Macaca fascicularis: one gene and its partners. The protein of the gene in region 3 purifies or fractionates together with the protein of the main gene of each other region. This does not show direct contact. Links are inferred from orthologs where the notes say so. Each region holds a gene or a part of one and is shown on either strand. Other genes may lie near its edges. The genes, in order: KDR, CD22, PTPN6 and CD72.

Region 1 (3,564 bases), on a different chromosome or scaffold from region 3:
ATAAGTGGACTCATGTAGTTCAAATTTATGTTGTTTAAGGGTCAACTGTAATTGAACTGGAATTAAATTGAACTGGCTTTGAGTAAATCACCTTAATTTTTTGTTAATTCTCTTTCATTTACATAAATGTCTGAGTTTACATGGTAATTTGTGTGGCATCCTACTTATAAGCCTTGGAAAGGATTTTGGATTTTATATCATGAGAATGCATCAATAAAGTGGAATTGTAAAAATACCTTAGATAATACTATTTATTAGAGTTGTAATCACAAAAGTGGCAACAACTACAACAAGTATGATTTAGTGAGCCCTTACTTTATTAGCTCATCTCATCTTAGTAGTTGAGATTGGAACTCAAGTTCCTGACTACAAAGCTATGCTCTTGACCTCTAGGTCATGTGGCATCCCTAGCAAGAACTTGAAAGTTTCTTCTGAATGAACAAAATAGAAATCACTAAGTGTCCTAAATTTATTTAAATTATTTCACTTGCCAAGATGCACTTGCCAAAATACACAGAGAGAGACGTGCTCTGGCTTATGTTTTGATAGAAGTACTCTTGTTCTCCAGGATACTTCAGGGAAATAGGGGCAGAAACAAGGAGGTTAGTTGGGAGGCTAATTACGTTTATCCAGGTGAGAGTTGAGGAGTGGCTTGGACAAGGGTAGTTGAGGTAGAGATAGTGAGAAGTGATCTGCTTCTGGATATATTTCAAAGGTAGAGTCAACAGGGTCTGCTGATCAATTCACTGGTTGTGGAGTATAAGGGAAAAAGAGTGGAAGATGACCCAAGTGTTAGCAGGAGCAACTGAGTAAATGGTGGTGGTATTTACTGAGATGGCAAAGATCGAGGAGGCAGTGAAATTTAGGGAAACAGTGTTAGATATGTTTCTCTGGAGATGCCTATGAAACATCCAAGTGGAAATGTTTAATATATCAACCTGGAACCCAGAGGAGTCAGGGCAGAAGGCACATATTTAGGAGGTATGTGAATGATACTTTAAACTTGAGGCTAGAGGAAGGTGTAAATAAAGAGGACGTCTGAAGACTGAGTCCTCGGGCCTATTAACACATGGTGGAAGAGGTGTGTGGAGTGTGTCTTGGGAGCAGAGGAGAAGGAGCACCCAAGCATCTCTGGGGGACTTAGAGAAAGCTGCACAGAGGAGCAAGTGTTTGAGTTGAGACTTGAGCAATCACTAGGCTTATGGGAGTGCACTAGTGGGGAGAGAAAAGCAAATGCAAGCACAGGAGGTGTGGGAGAAACACGGGAGGTGTGGGAGAAGCTGAAATGTGACCCACTAAAAGGTAGTACATGGAATCTTGGAACTGCAGCTACTCAGACCCTCAATGTTTTTGATGTTTCACTTGAAATGAAAAACTAAACCAAACGACCATTTACAATAAGCTGACATTTAAAAAAAAATTTCTTGCAGAAAAACCTTTTGTTGCTTTTGGAAGTGGCATGGAATCTCTGGTGGAAGCCACGGTGGGGGAGCGTGTCAGAATCCCTGTGAAGTACCTTGGTTACCCGCCCCCAGAAATAAAATGGTAACTACTAGAAATAAACACAAAGCATCATTTCATGTGAGAGCAAATCCTTCGACTGTACTAATTCCTGAGAATTCTTTTTCATAGGTATAAAAATGGAATACCCCTTGAGTCCAATCACACAGTTAAAGTGGGGCATGTACTGACGATCATGGAAGTGAGTGAAAGAGACACAGGAAATTACACTGTCATCCTTACCAATCCCATTTCAAAGGAGAAGCAGAGTCACGTGGTCTCTCTGGTTGTGTATGGTGAGTCCATTCAATTTTCCTCTCTGCCCAAGATTTATTATGATACATTGTCTTCCTAATCAGCCAGGCCACCATTCCTCTGCCTCCAGCTGCTTCACTCACATCATGGCCGGGCCTATGTACAAAAGTCATCTGGGGTGGTGAAGCTGAAGTGAAATGTAGGACTGTGTGCTCTGGCCATGTTTGTTTAAGAGGCCATGTAAATGAGCTTTGTGGTGGTCAAATGCAAGATTAAAGTAGTGATACCCTCCATAGTTTAAATGTTGTGAAAAAATAATGCCCACAGGGACAGTTGTCAAGTTAAGTTATACTACAATGTTCCCCTCTCATGGAATTGCCCACCTGGCACACAGATGTGTAAGACCCTTCTCCTTAGATTTTGTGCAAAGCTTCTAGTTTGATATTATAGTTGATGTATCAGTGAGGTACAGGCAGATTCCAACTCTGAAGGCTTTTGAAGTTGGCATTGTTGGCTTGGTTGGGGGCTTTTTTTTTCCTTTTTGACTGGAGTTCAGGGTCTGATTTTGAGTCTGTAAAGGCAAAATAGTACGTTTTTGATTTAAAGATGATTTGAACTTTGTTTTCTGAAACTGAAAGGTACAAATAAGTGTTTGGAATGGAATGGTGAGAAGGGTGCCATGGTCAAGTGAGTGTGAGAGGTGCTAAGGTGATGTGTAGATGTGTAACAGGTTTCTTTATTACAGGGACTTCTCAGAACCTTTTATATACTAATGTATATTGGTATTCTCTAGGGGGAGAGACATAGAGTATTCAAGGTTTAACAAACCTATTTGACTGGAGCATCGTTTTTCCCCTGAGCAAATTCATTAATCTCTCACTCCAAACAGTTTGAGAAATGCTTCTCTGTTGTAATTCTTTGTTCCCCCTTCTGGTATGGCATATTAAAACTTCAGGATATTTTCCCATGGCATTAAGGTGCTTCCCTATGTGTCCTAATACTCTTCTGTAGGCTGCTGAACTTGGCGTTATTTTTTTTTTTCAGGGAATATTTTAAAGATAGGTTGGGCATGGTGGTTCGCATTCGTAATCCCAGCACTTTGGGAGGCCGAGGCGGATGGATCACCTGAGGTCAGAAGTTCGAGATCAGCCTGGCCAACATGATGAAATCCCGTCTCTACTAAAAATGCAAAAATTAGCCAGGCATGATGGTGGGCGCCTGTAATCCCAGCTACTTGGGAGGCTGAGGCAGGAGAATCACTTGAACCCAGGAGGTGGAGGTTGCAGTGAGCCGAGATTGTACTCCAGCCTGGGTGACAAGACCAAAACTCCGTCTCAAAAAAAAAAAAAAAAACAAGATAACAGGTTCCACAGAGGTTCTTCAGAAGCAGCATAGGTGTAGGGGACTGGGGAGAGGAGAAACTGGAAAGTGTATAAGTAGGATGGGAGGAGAAAATGAACGGGAAATAAAAACAAAACATGGATAGCAAATAGCCCATTTCATCAGTTCATGAAGCCACTAAATCTTCTATTCACTTTAGCATATACTCTGCTATGTGAAATAAACATAAAAAAGAAGTCAAGTCTTGAAAGCATAACCTGAGGCTTTAAGTTGACAGTAGTAACGAAATAGTTTTGACTTTGGAGTCAAAAAAGAAAGAAAGGAAAAAGGGAGAGAAGAAAGAAGGAAGTGAGAGAAGGGAGAAGGAAGAAAGGGGAAGAGGGAAAGGGAGTGGAGAGGGAGGGAGGGAGGAAGAGGGAGAGGGAATGAAAGACTCAGATGGTGGTGGCAGTAATGCATTCTCTAAAG
Region 2 (4,137 bases), on a different chromosome or scaffold from region 3:
AATGCACTTGTTACGTTCATGGAACAAGAAGGAAAGAAGCATGCTTGAGTGGAGTGATGGAGGTGGAGTGGTTGCCCAAGGAAGCTTGATCACACAGGGTCTTGTAGGCCACAGGCAGGACTGGTGCTTGTTTATTTGTTTGTTTTGAGACAGTCTCGCTCTGTTGCCCAGGCTGGAGTGCAGTGGCACAATCTCAGCTCACTTCAGCCTCTGCCTCCCGGGTTCAAGCGATTCTCCTGCCTCAGCCTCCTGAGTAGTTGGGATTACAAGCATGTACCACCACGCCAGTCTAATTTTTATATTTTTAGTAGAGACCGGGTTTCACCATGTTGGCCAGGCTGGTCTTGAACTCCTGACCTCAGGTGATCCACCCACCTCAGCCTCCCAAAGTGCTGGGAGTACAGACGTGAGCCACCCCATCCAGCAATGGAATTTAATTCTAGTTTTGTTTTGTTTTTGAGATGGAGTCTTGCTCTGTCGCTGAGGCTAGAGTGCAGTGGCGTGATCTCAGCTCACTGCCACTTCTGCCTCCCGGGTTCAAGTGATTCACCTGCCTCAGCCTCCCAAGTAGCTGGGATTACAGGCATGCACCACCACGCCTGGCTAAGTTTTGTATTTTAATAGACACAGGGTTTCATCATGTTGGCCAGACTGGTCTCGAACTTCTGACCTCAAGTTATCTGCCTGCCTCCGCCTGCCAAAGTGCTGGGATTACAAGTGTGAACCATCGCGCCCAGCTGGAACTTGGGCTTTCAAAGAGCACGTTGAGAAGCCGCTGGAAAAGTGAGCTCAGAGGGTGTGATGGAGGGCTTGAGGCTTCAGAGGCCTACTGGCAGCTGCGTGGACAGTGAACACAGGCTATCAGTGGAGGCAGGGACAGGGCTGGGAGGCCCTGGCCATTGTTCAAGAGAGAGGAAGTGGAGATGGAGAGAGGAGTGGGGTCAGGACCCATTTTGGAGGAGGAAGTGGCAGGACTCACTTGAAGAGTCAAAGGTGACTCCAGCTGCTTCCTTAAGAGGTCGAAGAAAGCGCGAGGGGCAGGTTCAGTGCAGAACGCAAGAGTGACCTACTCCGGCCGAGTTCACGCCCAGGGAGGCCCTCAGGGACAGGGAAGACAGATGGCACCCCCTCCCTCTGAAATGCCAAGCTGAGGAAGAATCAGAACACATGACATAGTGACTCAGAGAGATGGGGGCAGATGCTGAGATGAGGGCTGGCCAGGCAGGAAGGGAGGTGAGAAGGTCTCATGGCCTCACGTGCCAGGAGGGCTGGGCCACCATGTGCGGGAGGGAGGACACCCAGGCACCAGGCCATGGTCATGACACGGGTCTCTTTGTCCCTCCCGGTCTGCCAACCTCCTGAGTCACTCCTGACGGAGATGACCGATCCATCCCTGGCCGGCCTCCCACCCTGTCCCTGGGACGGTGCCTGGGGCAGGCAGCTCCATTATCCTCCTTGATGAAAGAGCTCCCAGCGGCACTGGCCACTCCAGAGCCTCCTCCCCAGGTGGGTGATCATGCAGGGCTGGGCTCTTGCGACTGGCCAGGGATGGAGATGCACTGCACTGCTGAGAAGTGCTTTCTAGGAGTTCAAGACCAGCCTAGGCAACATAGCAGACATTGTATGTAGGAAAAAAATGCTTAAAAATAAGCTGGGCACAGTGGCGCATGTCTGTAGTCCCAGCTACTCAGGAGGCTGAAGCAGGAGGACCATTTGAGCCCAGGAATTTGAGTCTGCAGTGAGCTGTGATTGCACCACTGCACGCCAGCCTGGGCAACAGAGTAAGACTCGGTCGCTAAAAAAGAAAACAAAAGGTCGACTGTGGTGCTCATGCCTGTAATTCTACCACTTTGGGAGGCCGAGGTGGGCAGATCATCTAAGGTCAGGAGTTCGAGACCAGCCTGGCCAACATAGTGAAACCCTGTCTCTACTAAAAATGCAAAAATTTGCCAGGCGTGGTGGTGCGCACCTGTAGTCCCAGCTACTCAGAAAGCTGAGGCAGGAGAATTGCTTGGATCCTGGAGGTGGAGGTTGCAGTGAGCTAAGATTGCACCATTGCACTGCAGCCTGGGCGACAGAGCAAGTCTTGGTCTCAAAAAAAAAAAAAAAAAAAAGAGGAGAAGTAGCCAAGCCTCTTTCTATCCCCATTCTTCTCGCTCTCAACTCCAGGCTGCTCCTTCAACAGGAGGTGACAACCTCACCTCGCGAATTTTAAAAAAATTTTCTTTTAATTTTGAAATAATTATCAGAGGAAGTTGCAAAGATAGAACAGAGAAGTCTGGTGGCAGCTGAGCCAAAGACCCCTTCCCACCCTAGAGCACGATCTGCCCGGGGAGCGGGAAGGAAATGACAGTTTCGTCTCAAAGGGTCTCTCTGTGAAGCTCAGGCTGGGGCTGAGTAGCCAGAGGTGCGTGAATTGATGTCTGCAGGGAGTGATGGGTCAGCAGGGTACCTGACAATGTCTGGAATAATGACGGCTCACTTTCACAGAGAGCCCGTTCCATAGCAGCCACCGTGCAAAGTGCTGTAAGGACTGGGGACCTGTCGCAGCACAGCCCTGAAGTCGTAACAGCAATCTTATTATCACCCTGGGAGGGGAAACCGACAGATGTCACAGCAAACACATGGCAGACCTGGGACTGGAACCTACGTCTGTTTACCACATGCTTGTCATGGGATGTTCGGGTTGCTGAGCGTGTCCTGTGTGTGCTGTCGCCAGCCCTGTGAGGAAGGCACTATCATTGTTCCCATCTTACCGTCCTGGGCAGAGGTGGGGGGGGTGAGGGGGACACAGCCAGGCAGGGAGTGGCCACCCAGGGCTCTCAGGGACTCTGTTCATTGCCTGCTTTCAATGCTTCCCTGGTAAGGGGGTGACAGTCAAGTCACCAAAAAAGGAGACCAACGACCTGTTTGGAGGAACGGCGGGGAGGAAGAGTGAAAGCGCTGAGGCTGCATTCTCAGTTGTGCTCCTCCTCCCTTGCCCTCTCCACGCAGCCCTTGGCCTCCGGAAATCAAGACACGTCCACAGACCCATTGTCCAATCCCCTCCTGTAGCAAGACTATGAGCCACACCTGGCGCCGTGGCCAGCAGAAACCTCAGCTACTCCTTCTAGGTGAGGAGCAGGAATTCAAGTCCCAAAGGGTCCCCTGCCTGAGACCTTTGGGACCTGGCGACCTGGCCACCTGGCCTGGAGTCCCCCATTAAGATTGCTGGAATTAAGAAAATAAAAATTGATGTCCAGGTGCGGTGACTGGCACCTGTAATCTCAGCATCTTGGAAGGCCGAGGAAGTGGATTGCTTGAGGCCAAGCGATGGAGACCAGAATGGGCAATGTAGAGAGATCCCGACTCAACAAACAATAAAACATAAATTAACAGGGTATGGTGGCTGATGCCTGTAGTTCTAGTTACTCAGGTGGATTGCTTGAGCCCACCTCAAGTTCAAGGCTGCAATGAGCTATGATCGCACCACTGCACTCCTTCCTGGGTGACAGAGGGAGACTGTCTTAAATTTCTTTTTTTAAAAAAAGTAAGTATAGATTCACAGAAGTTGCAAAGATAGAACAGAGAAGTCTGGTGTGTGCTTCACCCAGCATCCCCTGATGGTTACTTCGACTAAATCATTCAGGACAGTATCAAAACCAGGAATTTGACATTTGTATAATATGTGTGTACAGTTCTGTCATTTTATCACATCTGGATGTATATAATGACAACTGCAGTCCAGATACAGAATTATTCTGTTACTACAAAGACCTCCCTTGTGCTACGCCCTTCATAGTCAAACACTTTCCCCCACCATCCCTAACTCCTGGCAACTTTTCATCTTCTCCACCTCTATCATTCTGTCATTTTGAGAATGTTACGCTTGGGCGTGGTGGCTCACATCTGTAATCCCAGCACTTTGGGAGGCTAAGGCAGGTGGATCACTTGAGGTCAGGAATTTGAGACCAGCCTGGCCAACATGGTGAAACCCCATCTCTACTAAAATACAAAAATTAGCCAGGCGTGGTGTCAGGCAGCTACTGGGGAGGCTGAGGCAGAAGAATCACTTAAACCCAAGAGGCAGAGGTTGCGGTGAGCTGAGATCGAGCCACTGCACTCCAACCTGGGGGACAAGGGCGAAACTCCATCTCA
Region 3 (4,037 bases):
GGTTGGTGGTTAAATTTTTGGTGAGATCCTGGTGTTCCCCAAAGGTGCTGACTGATTCAGCTCTGCTGCCCCATAGCCTTCCTGCGTTCCAGCTACAGACCTGGGGTCTCGTGTTCATTCATGGGGTTCCAGTGACTAAACTGCTAAAAGGGTTCACCTGAGAGCAAGAAGCACACTGCCTTGGGATATTTTCATTCACTGCATCCCATCTAGTTGTGCCCAGTGTAGACCAAGAAGTTGATCCAAACCACATAGGACAGAGGCCTGCATGCGTCCTGTTTTGCAAACAGCTGCCCAGCCAGTGGGGAAGCAGTTCATGCTTAAACTACCACCCCCTCCAGCTGTCTTACGCAGCTGGTCCTTGGAAGAAGCTTTGACCCTCCACTCCCTCTTGCAGGTGTCCTTAAATTTGCTCGCTTGGTCAAGTCCTATGAAGCCCAGGATCCTGAGATCGCCAGCCTGTCAGGCAAGCTGAAGGCGCTGTTCCTGCCGCCCATGACCCTGCCACCCCACGGGCCTGCTGCTGGTGGCAGCGTGGCTGCCTCCTGAGAGTTGGCCCTCCCTGTGCCCCTGCCAGGGAAGAAAAGGCCTTGATGTTCCAGACGATAATAAACGTGCCTGTGACTTAGCCTTGGTGTCAGTCTTTTGCAGACTTGACAACCCCCATCTCACCTTCCCAGATTCCCTCTGCCTTTCCAGGCCCCATCCCCATGTACAGCTCCTTCCTATACTCCTGGCTGGGCCTAACCCTGCTCCAGTGAGGGCCTGAGGCTCCTCCCCTTCCCCCAGGGCAGGGTGAGAGGCTGGACTGGGCCCCTCTACGCTCTGGGTGGGTGGGCGGGCCTGCACTGGGGACACCTCCTTCTCTGAGGAATTGGGCTGTTAGGACTTTCCCTTAGGCCCTTTGGTTTCCACCTACTGAGAGCTTTCCCCCATTGGTTGCTCTTCCCTCAGCCAGGGTTACTTCCTGGTCTTTGCTCCTACCCAGCGTCCCGCTGCTCTGTCAGCTTGAGCTCCAGGTGGAGCTCCAGGTGGCTCCTCCTCTCCCGAGGGAAGGGGGCCCTGGCCCAGCGGGCAGGCCTGCTGTACTCCCGCACTGGGGCTGCAGGGAAGCTGGCCACTGTGGGCGGTCTCAGGCCAGCCCCGCCCCACCTGTCCTTTTCCCGGAGACTATTAGTCCAGGGTTTGTCCCTGCGGTGCCATTGGCCTGGCAGGCTGGATCGAGGAGGAAGTGGCTGATTTCTGAGTGGTTCTTCCTCTCCTGGCTTGGGCCGCTGTGCACAGCTGTGCTCCTGGCTCAGCCCCGCCCACTGTGGCCCTCCGCTGTGACTTCCCCATCCCTACAGAGAGATGCTGTCCTGTGGGTAAGTCCCAGGCACCACCTGGGTCCTAGTCTCCTGTTAGTTTTGGAGGGAGGGAGGGCCTTGTTGATGCTCACTCCATCATGTATGTGAGCGTGAGTGCGATCTGCTGCTGCCCTGCCATGCGCCTGCTTCCGATCCCTATAAACCTTCCCCTTCCCGCAAAGTGTGAGGACCCCCAGGCTCACTCATGCCCCTCTGCCCCATCTTTAACATTTTCCGCCTGACAAGTGTGTATCTGTTCTCTCCATTGCATTTCTACTTCCAGCCTCTGGGCTCCTGCTTCTGTCTCCTGCTTAGGACCTGTCCCCCGTGGGTAGCTCACAACACCTGAAACAGCAATCAGAGGCCACCCGCGAAGGCCCTCCCATGCCCAGCCAACTTCCCCGCTCTTCCCAACATCTGACTTTGGTCCCATCTTCCTTCCGTTTCCTTTCACTTCCCGTTCCCCTGCATCATTCATTCAACAGGTACGTGTTGAGCGTCTGTTACACACCAGGTGTTGTTTAAGATGCTGGTAATACTGGAGTGAACAAGACAGACATGGTCCCTGCTCTCACGGAGCTTACATTCCAGTGGGAGGTTACAGACTGAACAAATAACCCAATAAATTGGATCATTGCAGATTCTCAGAAGTGTTATGCAGTAAATGAAACAGCCTCGGCTGGGTGTAGTAGTTCACGCCTGTGATCCCAGCACATTGGGAGGCTGAGGCGAGACGATTGCTTGAGCCCAGGAGTTTGAGACCAGCCTGGCCATATAGTGAGACCCTGTCTCTACAAAAAATAAGAAATTAGCTGGGTATGGTGGAATGCGTCTGTGGTTCCAGCTATGAGCCTGGGAGGTCAAGGCTGCAGTGAGTAGTGATTGCACCACTGCACACCAGCCTGGGCGACAGAGCGAGACCTTGTCTCAAAGAAAAAAAAAGAAAATGAACCAGCTTCATGTGCTAGCAAGTGACTGGGTGTGCAGGTGACATTACTAGCTGGAGGGATCGGGGAGGCCTTCCCGAGGAGGTGACATTTGAGCTGAGACCTGCTTGAGGAGGAAGAGGAGCCAGCCATGTGATGTGGTGATCAAGGCCTGGGCAGAGGAGCATCCCTGGGCAGAGGAGATGGTGAGCACAAAGCCCTAATGTGGGAACAAACAAAAAAAGGACCGTGTGTCCGTGGCAGAGGGCCCTCGTGGAGCAGAGGCAGGGCCACGGCAGGTTAGACCTTGTTGGATCTGGGATGTTGAAAGTGAAAACCTGGCCAGATGAGGTGGTGCATGCCTGTGATCCCAGCACTTTGGGAGGCCGAGATGGGAGGATCGCTTGAGCTCAGGAGTTTAAAACAAGCCTGGGCAACATAGAGAGATTCCATCTCTATTAAAAAAAAAAAAAATACTGGGTGTGATGGCCCAAGCATGTAGTAGTCCCAGCAGTTTGGGAGACTGAGGTGGGAGGATCACTTGAGCCTAGGAGTTCAAGACCACGCCGGGCAACATACAGAGAGACCCCATCTCAACTATGACGACTACTACTACTAAATAGCTGGACATAGTGGCACGCACCTGTGGTCTCAGTTACTTGGGAGGCTGAGGCAGGAGGATCACCTGAGCCAAGGAGGTTGAGACTGCAGTGAGTTGTGATTGTGACACTGCACTTTTCAGCCCGGGTGACAAAGCAAGATTCTGTGTCAAAAAAAGAGAGAGAGAGAGAGAGGAAGGAAGGAAGGAAGAAAGGAAGGAGAGGAAGAAAGAAAGAAAAAGAGAAAGAAGGAAGAAAAGGAAAGCGAGAAAGAGGAAAGAAGAAAAAAAAGAAAAAGAAAAAGTGACAACTGGCCAAAAGAAAGAAGAAAGAAAAAGTGACAACTGGCTGGGCGCGGTGGCTCACGCCTGTAATCTCAGCACTTTGGGAGGAGTTCGAGACCAGCCTGGCCGACATAGTGAAACCCTGTCTCAACTAAAGATACAAAAAAAGAAAAGAAAAGAAAAGAAAAAAAATTAGGCGGGCACAGTAGGGCGCACCTGTAGTCCCAGCTACTAGGGAGGCTGAGGCAGGAGAATTGCTCGAACCTGGGAGGCAGAGGTTGCAGTGAGCCAAGTCTGCGCCACTGTACTCCAGCCTGGGCGACAGGGAGAGACTCCATCCCCAAAAAAAATACAAAAAAGAAAAAGTGACAACCTGATTACAGAGTACTGGTGAGTTTGTGGGTGGGTGGCTCCCCAGCCCTGCTGATTCTTGCTTCTCACACTCACATCTGCTCCTGCCCCAGTGCACGTCTTGTCACTGTCGGCCCCACCGATGGGGTTCCAACTGAGTCTTCTGGTGCTTGATCCTTTCCGTGGTCATTTTCCTGCCAGATAGCTTGGCCAGGCCTCCCCTGGTGCAGATTCCATCCTTGGTTTCTCAGCCTGGCCTTGAATGACCCTCTACAGCAGGGTCCCAACCTCTCAGAGCAGCTTTGCTCCAGCCACACAGCTTGCTCACAGCCAGGCACTGCACATGTGGACTCTGTGCGTGCCACCCCTTTGCCCTGATGCATGTTGCCTCTGGGGGAGCACTTCTTCCTCCACCTTCCATCATGGGCTGTGGTGGTGCCTATCCCATCTGACCCCGACGCTGTCTGCTGCGGTATGGTTGGTGGTGGAAAGGGCACCAGGCTCCGGCATCTGACATCCTTGTTTTACCCA
Region 4 (3,178 bases), on a different chromosome or scaffold from region 3:
GGTGTAGGGAACTAGGATGGGGTGTCCATTCATTTTGAAAGCAGGACCCCAGCCAGTAGGTGGAGATGGGGAAAGGGACACATAAAAGAGGCAAGGCTGTGTCAAAACAGGCTGAGGGTCTAGGCAAGGTGCCAGGCCCAAGGGGACTGGGGTGTTTTTGGGCTATGATCAGGTTTAGGCTCTGTCTAGCTTGGGGTCATCTGGTCGATCTCCCCAGGCATAAGACAGCAAGATTATGTGCAGACGCCCCTTGCCCTCATTTCCTTAACCTGAACCTCTGTGACCATCAGTTCCATGCCAGGGCTGCCCATTCTCTTAGCAGCACCTTAGACCTCTACATCCCAAACTGCTCTTCTGGCAAAAGGATGGTTTCAGACTTCCACTCTGATCACAGCTGCCCACCACTCCTCCAGGTTTTCCCCAAACTTTTTTATCTCATTGAGGCCTCCAATCTGCTGACTCCCCTTTTTCTCCCTTCCCATCAGCTGTCTCCTGTCCACACTTCTCTCCCTACCTATCATGGGTTTGGAGCCCATCACTTTTACTACTCACTTTTTTTTTTTTTTTTTTTTTTAATAGAGACAAGGTCTCACTATGTTTCCCTGGCTGGTATCGAACTCCTGGGCTCAAGCGATCCTCCTGTCTCAGCCTCCCAAAGTGCTGAGATTACAATCGTGAGCCACCGCACATGGCTCACTCACTTCTTTGTTCCGTTATCCTTCTAGTGCACCTGATGGGCAAAATTTCAACTCTGGATGAACCCAACTGCCCACAGTCAGCACCAAGGTGTGACAAATTGTGGAATCATTTTGCTCAGTGCCACTGAGACTCTAGTCTCTCAGCACTGCCTGGCAACCTCTGCAGTGGTTAGCTTGCTCTCCATAATAACTCCTTCTCCCTCACTTTCAGCACATGCCCTCACCTTCCATTCTGAGAGGAATTCCCTCCACTTCCCATCACCAAGTCTATAAATCCATTTGGATTTTTGCCCATCCTCATCTTTTGCAAGGATAGCTGCAACAACTTTCTAAATGTTTTTCCTACTCACTCCTCTCCCCACAGTCCATTCTTCATATTGGAGCCAGGGTAATTCTTTACAAAAATCTGATCATGTCATCCCAATCTAGAGCATTCCAGTTAATTGATTACATAAACAGTTATGGAATACATAACAGATAATATGTTCTAGCACTGTGCCCAGGCACTTGGGATATAGCTAGTGAACAAAATTCCTCTGTGTAGAATCCTACACTGACTTTCTCTTTCTCATAATATAAAAATAAAAAATCCTTAACATAGCTTCCAACACCCCTGCCTACCTTTCAGTGTTCCACTTATCCCCTCACTTTCTTCCATTTGGTCATACGGATTTCTTTTCTTTTCTGTTCTGTTCTTTTTTTTTTTTTTTTTTTTTTTTTGAGGTGGAGTCTCACTCTGTGAGACTGAAGTGCACTCCCAGGCTGGAGTGCAGTGGTGTGATCTCGGCTCACTGCAATCTCTGCCTCCTGGGTTCAAGCGATCCTTTTGCCTCAGCCTCCCGAGTAGCTGGAATTATAGGTGTGCACCATAGTGCCTGGGTATTTTTTGGTATTTTTAGTAGAGGTGGGGTTTCACCATGTTGACCAGGCTGCTCTTTAACTCCTGACCTCAGGTGATCCATCCCGCCTTGGCCTCCCAAAGTGCTGGGATTATAGATGTGAGCCGTTGTGCCCAGCAGGGATTTCTTTTTATTCCTTTAAGTTGCCATAGGACAGTAACTCAAGGGAGTAGCAGGGTGGGGACATGAGATCATGTAGAGAGAAGAGAGGGAGCTAGTGGGGAGCGAATGATTTTTGAATGATGAAGGTAGGACTGATGGAACAAAGCAATGGAGAGAGGTGGTCTGGGGATCAGAAGTGCAGATTGGGATGTAGGATGTTGAAGAAAGAGGGATATTTATTTCTTATGGATAGTCAGGAAAAGAAGAACAGAGAAGAGAAATTTTGAGGGCAATGGAGAGAGCTGTTTCTGCAAAACAGGACCCAACATTTTCGGCTTGTAGGAAATTGGAGAGGGAAGGAGGGGGCCAGTGCTGGAGGAGTGGAAGTCTTGGATGTGCAGTGGGGGGTGCTTTAGGGAGTGGAGGAGATGGGCCCAAGAGATGTTAGGTAAAGTGTCAGGGTGGACTGCAATTGTTCAGAAATTGGGGTAATAAAATTAGCCCTATTAAGACAAACCTCCTAGATTGCTAAGAAGTAATGTTGTTGAATGTTAAAGTCTTTTTACTAAGTAAGGACAGGTACGGTGTTTCCAGGGGATGCAAAGGAAAGAAAGATTGCAAAGATCATAGAAGTCCATGAAGGTGCTGAGATTAGCCCTAGGAGAATATTGTTAGCAAAAGACTGCTGAGTAGTTACTTTCATCCCAACTGTTGCTGCTATCACACTCTTTCTGCTTTTTAGACACCTGCTGTCCGATGGGATGGACAATGCATCAGAAAAGCTGCTTTTACATCTCACCTACTTCGAAAACTTGGCAGGAGAGCCAAAAACATTGTGAAACTCTGTCTTCCAAGCTGGTCACATTCAGTGAAATTTATCAACAATCAGTAAGCATATCCTTACTCACAGACTGTGGTGGGTACTATTCGGTAAAGGGACATATGTCATCAAGTCAGGAATGGCAGTGCATACATGGCTGGGGTGGCCATTCCTTTTCCGTGGAAGAAACTGAGAATCACAATACTCTTGACCTCTGAGCTTGGAAACAACCTCTGCATCTTCTCAGCACAGTGGTCCAGGCAGCCCCTACTAACTGATTAGAGTTGGCATGAGAGTAGAAACTTAGGAACCATATCTACATTTTTTTTTTTTTTTGAGACAGAGTCTCACTCTGTCACCCAGGCTGGAGTGCAATTCCGTAATCTCAGCTCACTGCAACCTCTGCCTCCTAGGTTCAAGCAATTCTCCTGTCTCAGTTTCCCGAGTAGCTGGGACTACAGTCACACACCACCACGCCCAGCTAATTTTTGTATTTTTGTTTTTTTTTTTTTTTTTTTTTTTTTGAGACGGAGTCTCGCTGTGTCTCCCAGGCTGGAGTGCAGTGGCGTGATCTCGGCTCACTGCAAGCTCCACCTCCCGGGTTCACGCCATTCTCCCGCCTCAGCCTCCCAAGTAGCTGAGACTACAGGCGCCCGCCA

What was found.
Region 1: the proteins of PTPN6 (region 3) and KDR purify together in Homo sapiens (affinity purification with western blotting; 3 studies listed by BioGRID and IntAct, with this or other methods). This does not show direct contact. The link is inferred for Macaca fascicularis from reciprocal best matches to the Homo sapiens genes PTPN6 and KDR.
Region 2: the proteins of PTPN6 (region 3) and CD22 purify together in Homo sapiens (affinity purification with western blotting; 5 studies listed by BioGRID and IntAct, with this or other methods). This does not show direct contact. The link is inferred for Macaca fascicularis from reciprocal best matches to the Homo sapiens genes PTPN6 and CD22.
Region 4: the proteins of PTPN6 (region 3) and CD72 purify together in Homo sapiens (affinity purification with western blotting; 3 studies listed by BioGRID). This does not show direct contact. The link is inferred for Macaca fascicularis from reciprocal best matches to the Homo sapiens genes PTPN6 and CD72.

The regions. Positions count from the first base shown.
Region 1 is NC_088379.1:78,786,547-78,790,110, forward strand, and holds part of KDR (vascular endothelial growth factor receptor 2), read left to right. Parts: intron 1-1,430; coding exon 1,431-1,545; intron 1,546-1,632; coding exon 1,633-1,796; intron 1,797-3,564. UniProt on the Homo sapiens protein: Tyrosine-protein kinase that acts as a cell-surface receptor for VEGFA, VEGFC and VEGFD. Plays an essential role in the regulation of angiogenesis, vascular development, vascular permeability, and embryonic hematopoiesis.
Region 2 is NC_088393.1:42,563,405-42,567,541, forward strand, and holds the start of CD22 (B-cell receptor CD22), read left to right. Parts: upstream 1-1,335; 5' UTR 1,336-1,506; intron 1,507-4,137. UniProt on the Homo sapiens protein: Most highly expressed siglec (sialic acid-binding immunoglobulin-like lectin) on B-cells that plays a role in various aspects of B-cell biology including differentiation, antigen presentation, and trafficking to bone marrow.
Region 3 is NC_088385.1:7,882,835-7,886,871, forward strand, and holds the start of PTPN6 (tyrosine-protein phosphatase non-receptor type 6), read left to right. Parts: upstream 1-1,187; 5' UTR 1,188-1,350; coding exon 1,351-1,364; intron 1,365-2,329; exon of another isoform or gene 2,330-2,478; intron 2,479-3,014; exon of another isoform or gene 3,015-3,202; intron 3,203-4,037. Other genes in the region: C11H12orf57 (protein C10), read left to right, coding at 398-549. UniProt on the Homo sapiens protein: Tyrosine phosphatase enzyme that plays important roles in controlling immune signaling pathways and fundamental physiological processes such as hematopoiesis.
Region 4 is NC_088389.1:63,785,673-63,788,850, forward strand, and holds part of CD72 (B-cell differentiation antigen CD72), read left to right. Parts: intron 1-2,441; coding exon 2,442-2,587; coding exon of another isoform or gene 2,588-2,592; intron 2,593-3,178. UniProt on the Homo sapiens protein: Co-receptor of B cell receptor (BCR) that plays both positive and negative roles on B-cell functions. Recognizes the Sm/ribonucleoprotein (RNP) self-antigen ligand, and coligation of CD72 and BCR inhibits BCR signaling.